Linked DNA regions of Macaca fascicularis. The main gene of each other region encodes a partner of the protein of the gene in region 3 in a complex. Links are inferred from orthologs where the notes say so. Each region holds a gene or a part of one and is shown on either strand. Other genes may lie near its edges.

The links.
Region 1: the proteins of FGFR4 (region 3) and FGF23 are in contact, whole or in part, in a cryo-EM structure (PDB 7YSW), measured with the Homo sapiens proteins. The link is inferred for Macaca fascicularis from reciprocal best matches to the Homo sapiens genes FGFR4 and FGF23. Residues at the interface, in NP_001341913.1 of Homo sapiens: Glu156, Lys157, Lys158, Leu159, His160, Ala161, Val162, Pro163, Asn166, Asp240, Leu242, Glu243, Arg244, Ser245, Pro246, Lys272, Val273, Tyr274, Ser275, Asp276, Ala277, Gln278, Pro279, His280, Ala308, Asp309, Ile310, Ser312, Gly336, Asn337; in NP_065689.1 of Homo sapiens: Leu32, Gly33, Ser35, Trp36, Gly37, Tyr43, Ala45, Thr46, Ala47, Arg48, Asn49, Ser50, Ile75, Arg76, Ser77, Glu78, Asp79, Ala80, Gly81, Val83, Val84, Tyr93, His117, Gln118, Thr119, Asn122, Gly123, Tyr124, Asp125, Leu158.
Region 2: the proteins of FGFR4 (region 3) and KL are in contact, whole or in part, in a cryo-EM structure (PDB 7YSW), measured with the Homo sapiens proteins. The link is inferred for Macaca fascicularis from reciprocal best matches to the Homo sapiens genes FGFR4 and KL. Residues at the interface, in NP_001341913.1 of Homo sapiens: Asp266, Gln282, Leu284, His286, Ile287, Ile289, Gly295, Ala296, Asp297, Gly298, Phe299, Pro300, Tyr301, Val302, Gln303, Val304, Leu305, Lys306, Asn311, Ser312, Glu314, Leu318, Tyr319, Leu320, Arg321, Asn322, Asp327, Thr332, Leu334, Leu341; in NP_004786.2 of Homo sapiens: Ser539, Gln540, Phe541, Thr542, Asp543, Asn545, Val546, Tyr547, Leu548, Trp549, Asp550, Val551, His553, Ser554, Lys555, Arg556, Leu557, Ile558, Val563, Thr565, Arg568, Tyr571, Val573, Ala576, Gln579, Pro580, Glu625, Arg628.

The regions. Positions count from the first base shown.
Region 1 is NC_088385.1:5,238,096-5,242,241, forward strand, and holds the start of FGF23 (fibroblast growth factor 23), read right to left. Parts: upstream 2,807-4,146; 5' UTR 2,681-2,806; coding exon 2,470-2,680; intron 1-2,469. UniProt on the Homo sapiens protein: Regulator of phosphate homeostasis. Inhibits renal tubular phosphate transport by reducing SLC34A1 levels. Up-regulates EGR1 expression in the presence of KL. Acts directly on the parathyroid to decrease PTH secretion. Regulator of vitamin-D metabolism.
Region 2 is NC_088391.1:12,764,116-12,767,692, forward strand, and holds part of KL (klotho), read left to right. Parts: intron 1-1,261; coding exon 1,262-1,772; intron 1,773-2,536; coding exon 2,537-2,805; exon of another isoform or gene 2,806-2,855; intron 2,856-3,577. UniProt on the Homo sapiens protein: May have weak glycosidase activity towards glucuronylated steroids. However, it lacks essential active site Glu residues at positions 239 and 872, suggesting it may be inactive as a glycosidase in vivo.
Region 3 is NC_088380.1:184,015,165-184,018,741, reverse strand, and holds part of FGFR4 (fibroblast growth factor receptor 4), read right to left. Parts: coding exon 3,498-3,577; intron 1,885-3,497; coding exon 1,774-1,884; intron 1,682-1,773; coding exon 1,491-1,681; intron 1,150-1,490; exon of another isoform or gene 1,134-1,149; coding exon 1,011-1,133; intron 904-1,010; coding exon 833-903; intron 587-832; coding exon 449-586; intron 1-448. UniProt on the Homo sapiens protein: Tyrosine-protein kinase that acts as a cell-surface receptor for fibroblast growth factors and plays a role in the regulation of cell proliferation, differentiation and migration, and in regulation of lipid metabolism, bile acid biosynthesis, glucose uptake, vitamin D metabolism and phosphate homeostasis.

The DNA.
Region 1 (4,146 bases), on a different chromosome or scaffold from region 3:
CGGAGTCTCGCTCTGTCGCCCAGGCTGGAGCACAGTGGTGTGATCTCAGCTCACTGCAACCTCCGCCTCCTGGGTTCAAGCAATTCTCCTGCCTCAGCCTCCCAAGTAGCTGGGATTACAGGCACGCACCACCACGCCCAGCTAATTTTTGTATTTTTAGTAGAGACAGGGTTTCCCCATGTTGGCCAGGCTGGTCTTTAACCCCTGACTTCAAGTGATTCTCTTGCCTTGGCCTCCCAAGGTGCTGGGATTATATGCATGAGCCACCACACCTGGCCTCTTTTGGGTAACTTTTAATTGTATTGTGTAATTTTTTTCCTGCACTTTTTCCCCCCCATAATACACGTGACAACTGATTGAACAGTACAAAAAGTTATCTACATAGACTAGGAAAGGCAGATCTCTCTCCCACTCCCCTGACCCTAAGTTCCCCTCCCCATATTCGTGTTTAACTCTTTAAAGATGCAATGTTTAGCTAGTGCCTGTGTCTAAGAAAACAAAACCGTATTTCTGTTTTTAAAGATCTGAAGTCAGTTCCATTTGTTTTGCTGCCTCTCAATCCTTTTAATTCAGCTAGCACTCAATGATCCCTTGGGGCCTGATACGAGGTGGGTTTTCAAGGAAAAGGTCTACAGTTCAGAATGCCAGCCCAGGAGGTCGACTCTTCACACTCACTCCCCACCGTAGCCAGCCTGTTCCGTTCTACCCTAATTCTTGTTCAGGAGGAAACGTCTTTAAGGAGTTCCTTTCAGCAATGGGATTCCAGGATTCGAGACAAGTTGTGTAAACATTCTCTAGTTGGATGCCGCCCTTTCCATCTAAGAGAATCAAAACAATTTACCATCATCTACTATTCTGCATTTTAAATCACATAGAGTCTTGAATCAGAGTAAGAGTGGCCGCTCCATGAGAGGCGCAAAGTCGCATTTCCTAAAGTCTGGTAGTGAGCTGGCTGACAAGGCAGGACGACAGACCACAAGGTCCTTGAGGGGTTGTGTCTTACTTTTCAGTCACAGAGCTTGATAGAATGCCAGGCACATTGTAGATCCTGTTAAATATCCATTGAATAAAATGAACAACACTTGGGGTTCATCAAGTATATCCAGATTTAATTGAAATTTTTGCCACGAGACTCACACTTGGTTTCCAAGATGTTGACTCCTGAGTCTTAGTATATCCTCTAGAGTTCTGGAACCTGTTTGGTATTTGGAGAGAACTTTTCTCTCTCCTTTTATCTCCTATCAATATGCATCTAGCACTTGAGGAGGTTTAAACTGTCAATTTCGCATGTCATATATCTTGCAACTTAATTTTGCATGTTATATATCTTGCAACCAGGTTTAAGGACCTTTGGTTCCTAGAAGAATAAATGCCTCACACACAGCAAGGTCACAGCAAAAATAATTAACTTATTACAACAATAAAAGGCAAATCATAATTCCTATGTTTTCTTTAGTTAGAGATTGTCTAACTAATTTTTCTTTCCCTTAATTTGAGCTATATTGGATCACTTTGCATTTTTATATATTCTCAGAGGTATTCACATGTTTTCTTAAAATAGAAGATCCAGTCTTTTTCAATATCCCTGCTCCCACCACATTACCCCTTATATAGGTGCGCACAAAGTGGCCCTCATTTGAATCGTTGCTAATGGATTGATTATTGTGGATTGTGATCCAATTCTCCACAAACCTGATCTTTAAAAACATTCCAGTTGTCTCACATTGCCAATAAGTTTCTAACTAGCTTGACTTGCTACTGACTGGACACCTTTCAGTTCCACGGAGAAGAATCACCAATGCGTACTGGGTACCGGGGTACCTGAGTATCTGAAACAGCCTTTAAACCTGTTAAAGTTTAAAGGTTGGATGGATGGATGCATGGACAAATGAATGGGTGGATGGGTTGTATACTTGGCCATTCTCACCAAGACAACATTCCTGGACGGTCTGTGTTTAATACATTTTTCCAAGAATTTTTATAAGGCCAGAATTGGAAAGAGCCCCCAGATTTATCTATTACAATCTGGGTATGACCTGGGAATCTTCTTTCCAACCTGCCTAGTTAACCCAGCCTGAAGTCCAGGAGCTGAAACTTAGTGTCTGTTGATCTGCCTGGCTTCTTTTTCTCTTAGACTCCTTGCTTTTTTTCAGTATATTTTCTGAATCTTTTGATGGGGCAAAGGGAATATGGCTCCTACTGTGGGAAGGGTTTTAGTTTAAACAAAAAGTATGCATGTTAGAAAAACCAGCAAATACTAATTAGGAGAGTGACAGAATCTTCCCCTAAGATTTAAATACACACACACACACACACACACACACACACACACACAGACAATAAGTGGTTCCTGGGCAGAAAGCTTGGAGGGTTGGATTAGCCCTCCAGTCTAGTCCCCAACCTCCCCAAGCCCCCTGTAGATGGACAACAGGGGCGCACCCCTTCTTCCCAGCTTGAAGTCCTACTCACTGTAGATGGTCTGATGTGGTGCGCCATCCACGTGGCCATTCTTGTGGATCTGCAGGTGGTAGCTGTTCCTGGCTGTGGCTGTGTACAGGTGGATCAGGCCACCCCAGCTGGAGCCGAGCAATGGGGAGGCATTGGGATAGGCTCTGATGACGCTCATGCTGCAGACGCTGCACAAGGCACAGACCCAGAGCCTGAGGCGGGCCCCCAACATCACGCCCTGCTCTGAGTGGCTGGTGCTGAGATTGAAACCTGACACTCCTGTCGGGACTCTCCTGGCCCAGGCCTCACTGGCCTTTTCCTTCTCCCTTGCAAGTAGCTGGTGTGAGGATCCTAGACTGAATTCCCTCCTTTTTGCCATCAGACTTTTAAAGGGTAGCAGTGTGACATCAAACAGGAAAAACTCCGCTGTCCACATCCTCTGTGTTGTAATCAGCCCATTGAAAGAGAGTGCAGAGACCCCGGAGGCGCACGGAAGGCACGTCGGTTCCAGACACACACACCCCCCTCAATTTCAAGCCAACGCTCCAAAAAAATGAATGACGCGTGGGCAAAAGTTATCTGCCGCTCTGGGCTGTCTGTTGACCTGTCCCACGTCCATCAGGAAATGCGAAGGCAGCCAGCGGTTCCCAAAAAAAATCCAGCTTCAGTCAAGCAGTCAACCGACTCCCAGGCAATTAATCTCCCGTCGAGTTTACTTATTTTGGTTTTCTTTAAATTCCAATCAGCAAGTATGTATCAGTGCTTAATCTATGAGCAGGATTCGGTGGCTAGCTTGTAGGATATAGAGATACATGACACCGTCAGGCAGATGGCATCCTCTGAGAACCCCCAATTCGTGAAAGATGGGAGCTGGGAGCAGGGGCACAAAAACCAAAGTTGCCATTTTGGGAAGATTTTGAAATGGAAGAAAAAGAAGCAAGGTCTTGAGCTCACTGAACATGCCAAGGTTCGATTTCTCAGCGTCCTTAGTTTGGACTTCGCTGAACATGCCAAGTTTCAATTTCTCAGTTTCCCTAGTTTGGACTATCGAGGACAACTAAATGAATAGTCTCTCCAGGAGTAAGGAGACCCGTTCAGAGACCTCATGGGGATTGGAAAGGCTGCTGGCTGAGCACCGGGAATCCGAGCCTCAGGACAGGGTGTCCCCACATTTAGTGTCTGTACATGAGTGCTCAGCTTGGTGCTGGATGCCTGCCTGCAGATGCTGTTCACAGTGCGCCCTCTGGGAAGCTACACCTCATGTTGGGGGGAATAGTCCTGGCACGCACAGTCTAAAGGGGAGCAAGCTACTGCAACATACACCCGAAAAAATACCCAAGGAGATTGCTCCTCTTCCAATTTCCCATGTACTGAGTACATGCCATGTACAGGCATCAAGCTAGACATCACGTACAAGTTGATATAGGAGACAGCAAGATGTGATTCCTATCTCGAGGAGCTCAAATCTAATGCAGGAGGCAGATAAAAATAAGTAACCGTAATACAAAATGAGTGCAAGCATACAGGTATAGACAGAAAGAAATGGCATCTGTTACCCTACATTTGTGCAGTTTTTTTTTTATAGTTTACAAAGCATTTTCACATCTATTAGCTCATTTGAACCTCACTGCCACTCTGTGAGAGGGGCACACCATGCATTATCAAGATTTTAATACTTTACATGAAGAAATGGAGATC
Region 2 (3,577 bases), on a different chromosome or scaffold from region 3:
CATTTAGTGAAATGAAACATAGCAGATATGTTCACCACGAAACTAAAAAGAAAAGTTAGCCATAAACTATCTTATTCCATTGAAATGTTAGGCTGAACCCCTAAGAATGTTGATGAGGCCATTCTTGGGTGCCTGTACTGAATTGAACCAAGAGAGGAATATTTAGGATATGTTGAAGAGGCTATTTGGCTCAATGAACAAAGGAGTTTCTGCAGGCCCAGGGAGTGGAATGAAAATTGGCATGATCATTCTGGAGAATATATGGAGTCAAACAGAGAATGAGAATGGAGTTTTCAAAGAGGATATGTTAGGGGAATAAAGGCTGATAAACAACACTTGTCTTTGTAGGAAAATAGGGAGAGTAAATCAAGGAATTCAAAGGGAAAGAGAAACTCACTTCAAGTAGGGGAGAAAAAACTCCTATAATTTTCACTCTTCTTTGTAGATAAAAAGGAAACAAATGAAAATAAGATATTAGAAGTCAGTAAGAATTTATGGGAGTATAAAGTTGGTTTTATGGATGCAAAGCCCTTTTCATTGCTGTACGAAACTCCTGGCTGCATGCAAACAATGGACATCTGATCTCCTTGCAGCTGTATTTTGCTGTTTTTTGCTCTTGGCTTGTACCTTGCACCCTGGGTCTGTGGGAAACCAGAACTGTCCCAGAGTTCTGGAGGGTAGGCCAAGGTTAGATACTGGAGTGGGTTCTTTAATTTATTGTACTGATTCTTCTTAGGGAAGAATGAAGATTGCTTGTTAGAATTTTAGCTATGAGAGATGACTCTGAAACAGTAAATTAACTCCAATGACCTGAGTCATTTTGAAAACTCCCAGTTTCAGGATAAAAAATATAATCCTATTTAGAAATTCCTGGTGTGATCACAGATGTAGCATTGGTTCTTTTCACAAAACCCGTAAATTAAAAAGTACATAATCCAAAGTCAATTAAATAGTAAGATATTATAACAAATTCTTTTATTTCATTAGCTTTTCAAAATGTGGATAACACACACTCAACCCAAGGAATTTACATTTTTCCACTGACTGCTAAAAATCAATGGAAATAACTCTAGTCCTGGTAGCACCTCACTGTGGGGTGACCTACCTTTGAAATAATTTATTGGTTCCAGCTGATTTTTACATTGTTAGTCATTAAGTTAGGCTTGATGAGAAACATATAATTTGAGTTGGGGATTCAAGTATTATATTGCATTTCTCTTCACAACTAGAGATAAATTCGTCATGGTTTTTCTTTTCATAGGCTCATGCCAAAGTCTGGCATCTCTACAATACTTCTTTCCGTCCCACTCAGGGAGGCCAGGTGTCCATCGCCCTAAGCTCTCACTGGATCAATCCTCGAAGAATGACCGACCATAGCATCAAAGAATGTCAAAAATCTCTGGACTTTGTACTAGGCTGGTTTGCCAAACCCATATTTATTGATGGTGACTATCCCGAGAGCATGAAGAATAACCTTTCGTCTCTTCTGCCTGATTTTACTGAATCTGAGAAAAAGTTCATCAAAGGAACTGCTGACTTTTTTGCTCTTTCCTTTGGTCCAACCTTGAGTTTTCAACTTTTGGACCCTCACATGAAATTCCGCCAATTAGAATCTCCCAGCCTGAGACAACTGCTTTCCTGGATTGACCTTGAATATAACCATCCTCAAATATTTATTGTGGAAAATGGCTGGTTTGTCTCAGGGACCACTAAGAGAGATGATGCCAAATATATGTATTACCTCAAAAAGTTCATCATGGAAACCTTAAAAGGTATGATTTTGGGTAAAGTTCTCATTTCCTGCCAAAGTCTTCTAGAAAAAAATCTCCAAGATTATCTAACATGAACTATGTGAATTTATATTTTTAAATCCTAATGGAGACATTCAATTTGGCAATAGTAGGAATGCATTCGTGTAACACCTTTCTCATTTGGGGTCTTGAGGAACTTGAAGTAATTTTTAAAAACCCATTTGTAAATGAGAAACTGGGTTATAATATTTGTAATTACTTAACTTTCAGAGTTACTAATCTAGATTTTTAGATTAAATTGAACATAAATCCCAGGATATCTAGCTCTCTGCACATGTTTTTCAGTTCTTGTTATTTTGGTTGAGTAAAACACTTTAAAGGAAAAGGAATGTCCATGTTTCCTAGAGAAAACAGTATAAATAGATCATGCTTTTAAAGCCTTCATTTATTTATTTATTGCATCAGACACAATGCTGGGTGTCTAGGATGGAAAGTGGTACAAGACATCTTTCCAGCCCTGTAGAACATCTATTATAAATAAGGAATTATTCTGTCGAGGTGCTCAGAAATCCAAAAAAACATATTGATAGGCCTATTTTGAGGGCATTTATTTGTAGAGTTATATAGGTTTGATTAGAGTCTTTTGTGAAGAAGAGAAATCATTGGCTTACCAAACAAGAAGCATTACACTTTATTTAAGTAGGAGAACGCTCAGATGCTCTTGAATCATGATGCAAGTGCCCAGCGAAGGGTCGTGTTGCTCTTGTCCCCTCTTCCCTTTGCAGCCATCAAGCTGGATGGGGTAGATGTCATCGGGTACACCGCGTGGTCCCTCATGGACGGTTTCGAGTGGCACAGAGGTTACAGCATCAGGCGTGGACTCTTCTATGTCGACTTTCTAAGCCAGGAAAAGACGTTGTTGCCAAAGTCTTCAGCCTTGTTCTACCAAAAGCTGATAGAGAAAAATGGCTTCCCTCCTTTACCTGAAAATCAGCCCCTAGAAGGGACATTTCCCTGTGACTTTGCTTGGGGAATTGTTGACAACTACATTCAAGTAAGTCAGCTGGCAAAACCTATCAGCAGTCTCACCAAGCCCTATCACTAGTAAGTAGTGCTTCCTTCCTAGGCTGATTGTCACGGCACATTGTCCGTTCTTAGAGCCAAAACCAATTCCTTATGAGCACACTAAGGATACAGTTTGGAATGTTGCACCCTGCTCTCCAGAAATCTTCCTATCTTCATCTTGTTTAAGTTAGATGCAAAGAGAAATAAATTTAAAACATATCAATATTTAAGATCCGATTAAGACAGTGAAAAGATAAAACACTCTCTTTTCACATTGTGGTTTTTGATCCTTTTTAAGGCAGTTGAGTTTTTTCACGAACAGGATCTAACACAAAACTCCAAAGCCTCCGAGTTTCAGTGGTGGGGCTGAGACAGAGGCAGGAACATGAGGCGGACTCCTCCAGAGGCACAACTGTGGGCTCCACAAATGTGCAGAGATACCCTAAGAAAGTAAACCCTAGATCCAGTGATTCACTGGTCAGAATGTCTTTTTTAGCAATAGTCTTTGAAATGATATGAAATTTCTTCAAAATGATCAACCAATATTTATTGAGCATCTTCTCAGTAGTAAGCCCTTAACATTCTTTTAAATTTCCCAAATTTTGAAGGGACTTGTTTTCCAGCATTTGATTGGATACTCTAGTAAGCACTTATTGGATGTCTAGTGTCTCCAAAGCCTTGTGTTAGTTGCTCGGGTCGCTTGGTTAAGCGGAATGCAGGTAGAGGGTACACTGAGATGCGTAAGGGCAACCTTTGCATTC
Region 3 (3,577 bases):
GAGGAAGAGGAGAGGAGGAGGAGGAAGAGGAGAGGAGGAGGAAGAGGAGAGGAGGAGGAGGAAGAGGAGAGGAGGAGGAGGAAGAGGAGAGGAGGAGGAGGAGGAAGAGGAGAGGAGGAGGAGGAAGAGGAGAGGAGGAGGAGGAGGAGGAGGAGAGGAGGAGGAGGAGGAGGAAGAGGAGAGGAGGAGGAGGAGGAGAGGAGGAGGAGAGGAGGAGGAAGAGGAGAGGAGGAGGAGGAGGAAGAGGAGAGGAGGAGGAGGAGGAGGAAGAGGAGAGGAGGAGGAGGAAGAGGAGAGGAGGAGGAGGAAGAGGAGAGGAGGAGGAGGAAGAGGAGGAGGAGGAGTTGTTGTTAGTGTTGTCCTTCTGGCCGGCACAAACCCTGAGGCCAAGGTCAGGGCAGAGGAGGAGGACTGGAAAGTGGGGGTCGAGGGCAGGATGAGGCCTCACAGCTCTGGGGGGCAGTGTGGGGGTCGGTCCATCCGATGTCCCTCCCGCAGCAGTGAGAACAGCTCCTCCACCGGGATGCCAGGATACGGGGAGCCCCCGAGGGTGAAGATCTCCCACAGCAGGACCCCAAAAGACCACCTGGAGGCAGGGCCAGGGCTCAGTGTGGCCCAGCGCCCTCCCTAAGACCAGGGCTAGGACGGGGGACCCCACAGGCATGACCCACCCCAGCTGGTGGGGAGTGGGCTCCTCCTGGAGTGTGGTCCCACTCGGATCCCAGAACAAATCTGAAGGAGCCCTGGAGCGCAGGCCTCCTGGGGCCATGTGACTTTGGGCAGTGCCTTGCCCTTTTTGTGGGGTAGGACAGTGACCGCTGGCAGGACTCACACGTCACTCTGGTGTGTGTACACTCGGTCAAACAAGGCCTCGGGCGCCATCCACTTGACAGGCAGGCGGCCCTGGAGGGGAGGGAGGGCCTCAGTGCAGAGTCCCACGAGTTCCCATGCCTGCCACCCCAGGCCCAGCCCCCCTCCACTCCCATCCAGTTCTGCCCCGTCTCCCTCACGTTGCTGGTTTTCTTATAGTAGTCAATGTGGTGGATGCCACGGGCCAGCCCAAAGTCAGCTATCTTCATCACATTGTCCTCCGTCACCAGCACATTGCGGGCAGCCAGGTCCCGGTGGATACACTGCAGGGAGTGGGGGCTTGGGTGCATCAGGACACCTGACCTTGAGCTGAGCACACACCACCCCCCAGCAGGCTCAGGGGCAGGGGCCCTCCACCCACTTTACAGAGGAGGTGGTCAAGGTTTAGAAATGGGGAACGCCCTCTCCTGTGTCCCCTCTCCCCTCTCCCCTCTCCCCTCTCCCTTCTAGGGAAGTGTGAGGAACAAGTGGGGAAGGCAGGAAAGCATGAATGCCTGGGGACACTGAGGTGGGGTCATGAAAAAGAGCAGAAAGGAAGAAGTTGGGGACATTTAATGCCACAGGCCTGAGAGAGTGGAGCTGGAGAGATCGAGAGGGGCCCAGAGCCCTACCGCCTGTACCTTCCGGGACTCCAGATACTGCATGCCTCGGGCCACCTGGTAGGCGCAGGAGACCAGGACTGGGAAGGAGAGTGGCCCCTCACTGCTCTGAGGACCGTCCGGGCTGAGGTCAGGGCCCGGGGGGCGCCGGGCCCGCAGGAACTCCCGAAGGTTTCCCTTGGCAGCGCACTCCACGATTACATACAGGGGCCCTACAGAGGGAGTGGAGGGAGCTTGGAGAGACTGCCACAGCTTTGGCTCTGTACCCTAACGGCCCATGCAGCCGGCCCCGCCTTGGCCCCACCTTCCTGGGTGCAGACACCCAGCAGGTTGATGATGTTCTTGTGTCGGCCAATCAGCTTCATCACCTCCATCTCCGAGACCAGGTCAGCCAGGTCCTTGTCAGAGGCGTTGTCTGTAAGGGCAGCAGATGGGGTGAAGAGGCTGCTCTCCAACTACATGAGGGAACAGGCAGAGGCAGGGGCAGGGCGAGGCAGAGGCAGGGGCAGGGCGAGGCAGAGGCAGGGGCAGGGCGAGGAGCACTGGACCAGGGCTACGTAGGTCTAGGGCTGAATCCTTGCTAGTCTGTGTGGCCTTGAAAAAGTCTCCTAGTGTCTCTGAACCTCAGGGTCGTCTTGTGGGAAACAGAGCAGTGGGTCACACCCTACCTGTCACAGCAGTTGCAAGGATGCAACTATATCAAGGATCTGAGAGGCAGGCCTTCCAGTGGGCAGGTCCAGGAAACAGGAGAGAGGGGAAGAGCTCGGAGCAGGAAGGAAGCTGCCTCTGGAGGGGTTAGCGGTAGTCCCTACATGGGGTCAGAGCTTCTGGGAGCGGAAAGCAGGCTGGCACCCTGGGGTCTGTTTGACCAGGGCCTGGCGTCCAACTGGCCTGGGAATTCAGGGAGCCGGCTGCAGGCAGGGCGCAGCCAGGGAGCTTGGGAAGAAGGCTGCTCTGGCTTCTCTGGCTGGGCCCCTGGGGCTGACCTGTGGCCCTGGGCCAGTGATGTAACACTCCCCACCCACACACGGCAATGTCACAATGCACATTTCTCAATCCCTGCCTCCCAGGGAGCACCAGGTGGCCCCAGCTGTGTAGAGAGGAGGGGAGGAGCAGAAGAGCAGTTGAGGCCATTCTTGCAGGGGGCGCTGGGGAACTGCAACGAGAGGACCTGATGGGCGGGGTACGGGAGTGCCTGGCAAGAGCACCCTCGGGGCTGGGACTGGGTGCAAGCAGAAGGGCTGTCCTTCTAGAGCAGTGGACGCGGGATGGACCTAGGGAGGGTCCCAGGGAGGCTGAGGGTGTGTCTGGGGGGAACCACAGGGAAGGCGGGGGAGGGCCTGTGAGGCTGAGAAGAGGTGAAGTCAAGGCTGACACAGACTGACGCTGACAGAGGATATCAAGCCTGTCACACCAAATCCTTCTCATCATCGTCACCCCAATGGTGACGATTTGTTGAGGGCTGAATATGAGCCAGGCACTTTCCACAGTCCCTGGGCTGGGAGTAGGGACTGTTATTTACCCCATATGACACGAGGGAAAACTGAGGCTCAGAAGTCACTTGCCAGGGTCAGGAGCAGAGCTGAACTGCAGGTTTAAAGGTGGGATCCCACAGCCTCTCCCAGCTCCAGGGCTCACCCGGTAGCACTGTGATCCCCTTCTATTAGTCCCAAAGCCATAGCACCTCCTCCAGGCTGCCACATTCACCTTTTACTTTTATTTCTTTTTTTTTTTTCAGATAGGGTTTCACTCTGTTGCCCAAGTTGGAATACAGTGGTGTGATCATGGCTCACTGCAACCTCCAACTCCTGGGTTCAAGGGATCCTCCTGCCTCAGCCTTCCTAGTAACTGGGACTAAAGGCACACACCACCACACCCAACTAATTTTCTTATTTTTTTTTGTAGAGATGAAGTCTCGCCATGTTGCCCAGGTTGGCCTCGAACTCCTGGATTCAAGTGATCCTCCCACCTCGGTCTCCCAAAGTGCTGGCATTACAGGTGTGAGCCACCACGCTGGGTCACACTCACCTTTGAGCATCTTGACAGCCACAGTACTGGCTTGGTCAGGCCGGGCAGGGTCCATGCCAAAGGCCTCTGCACGTACTACC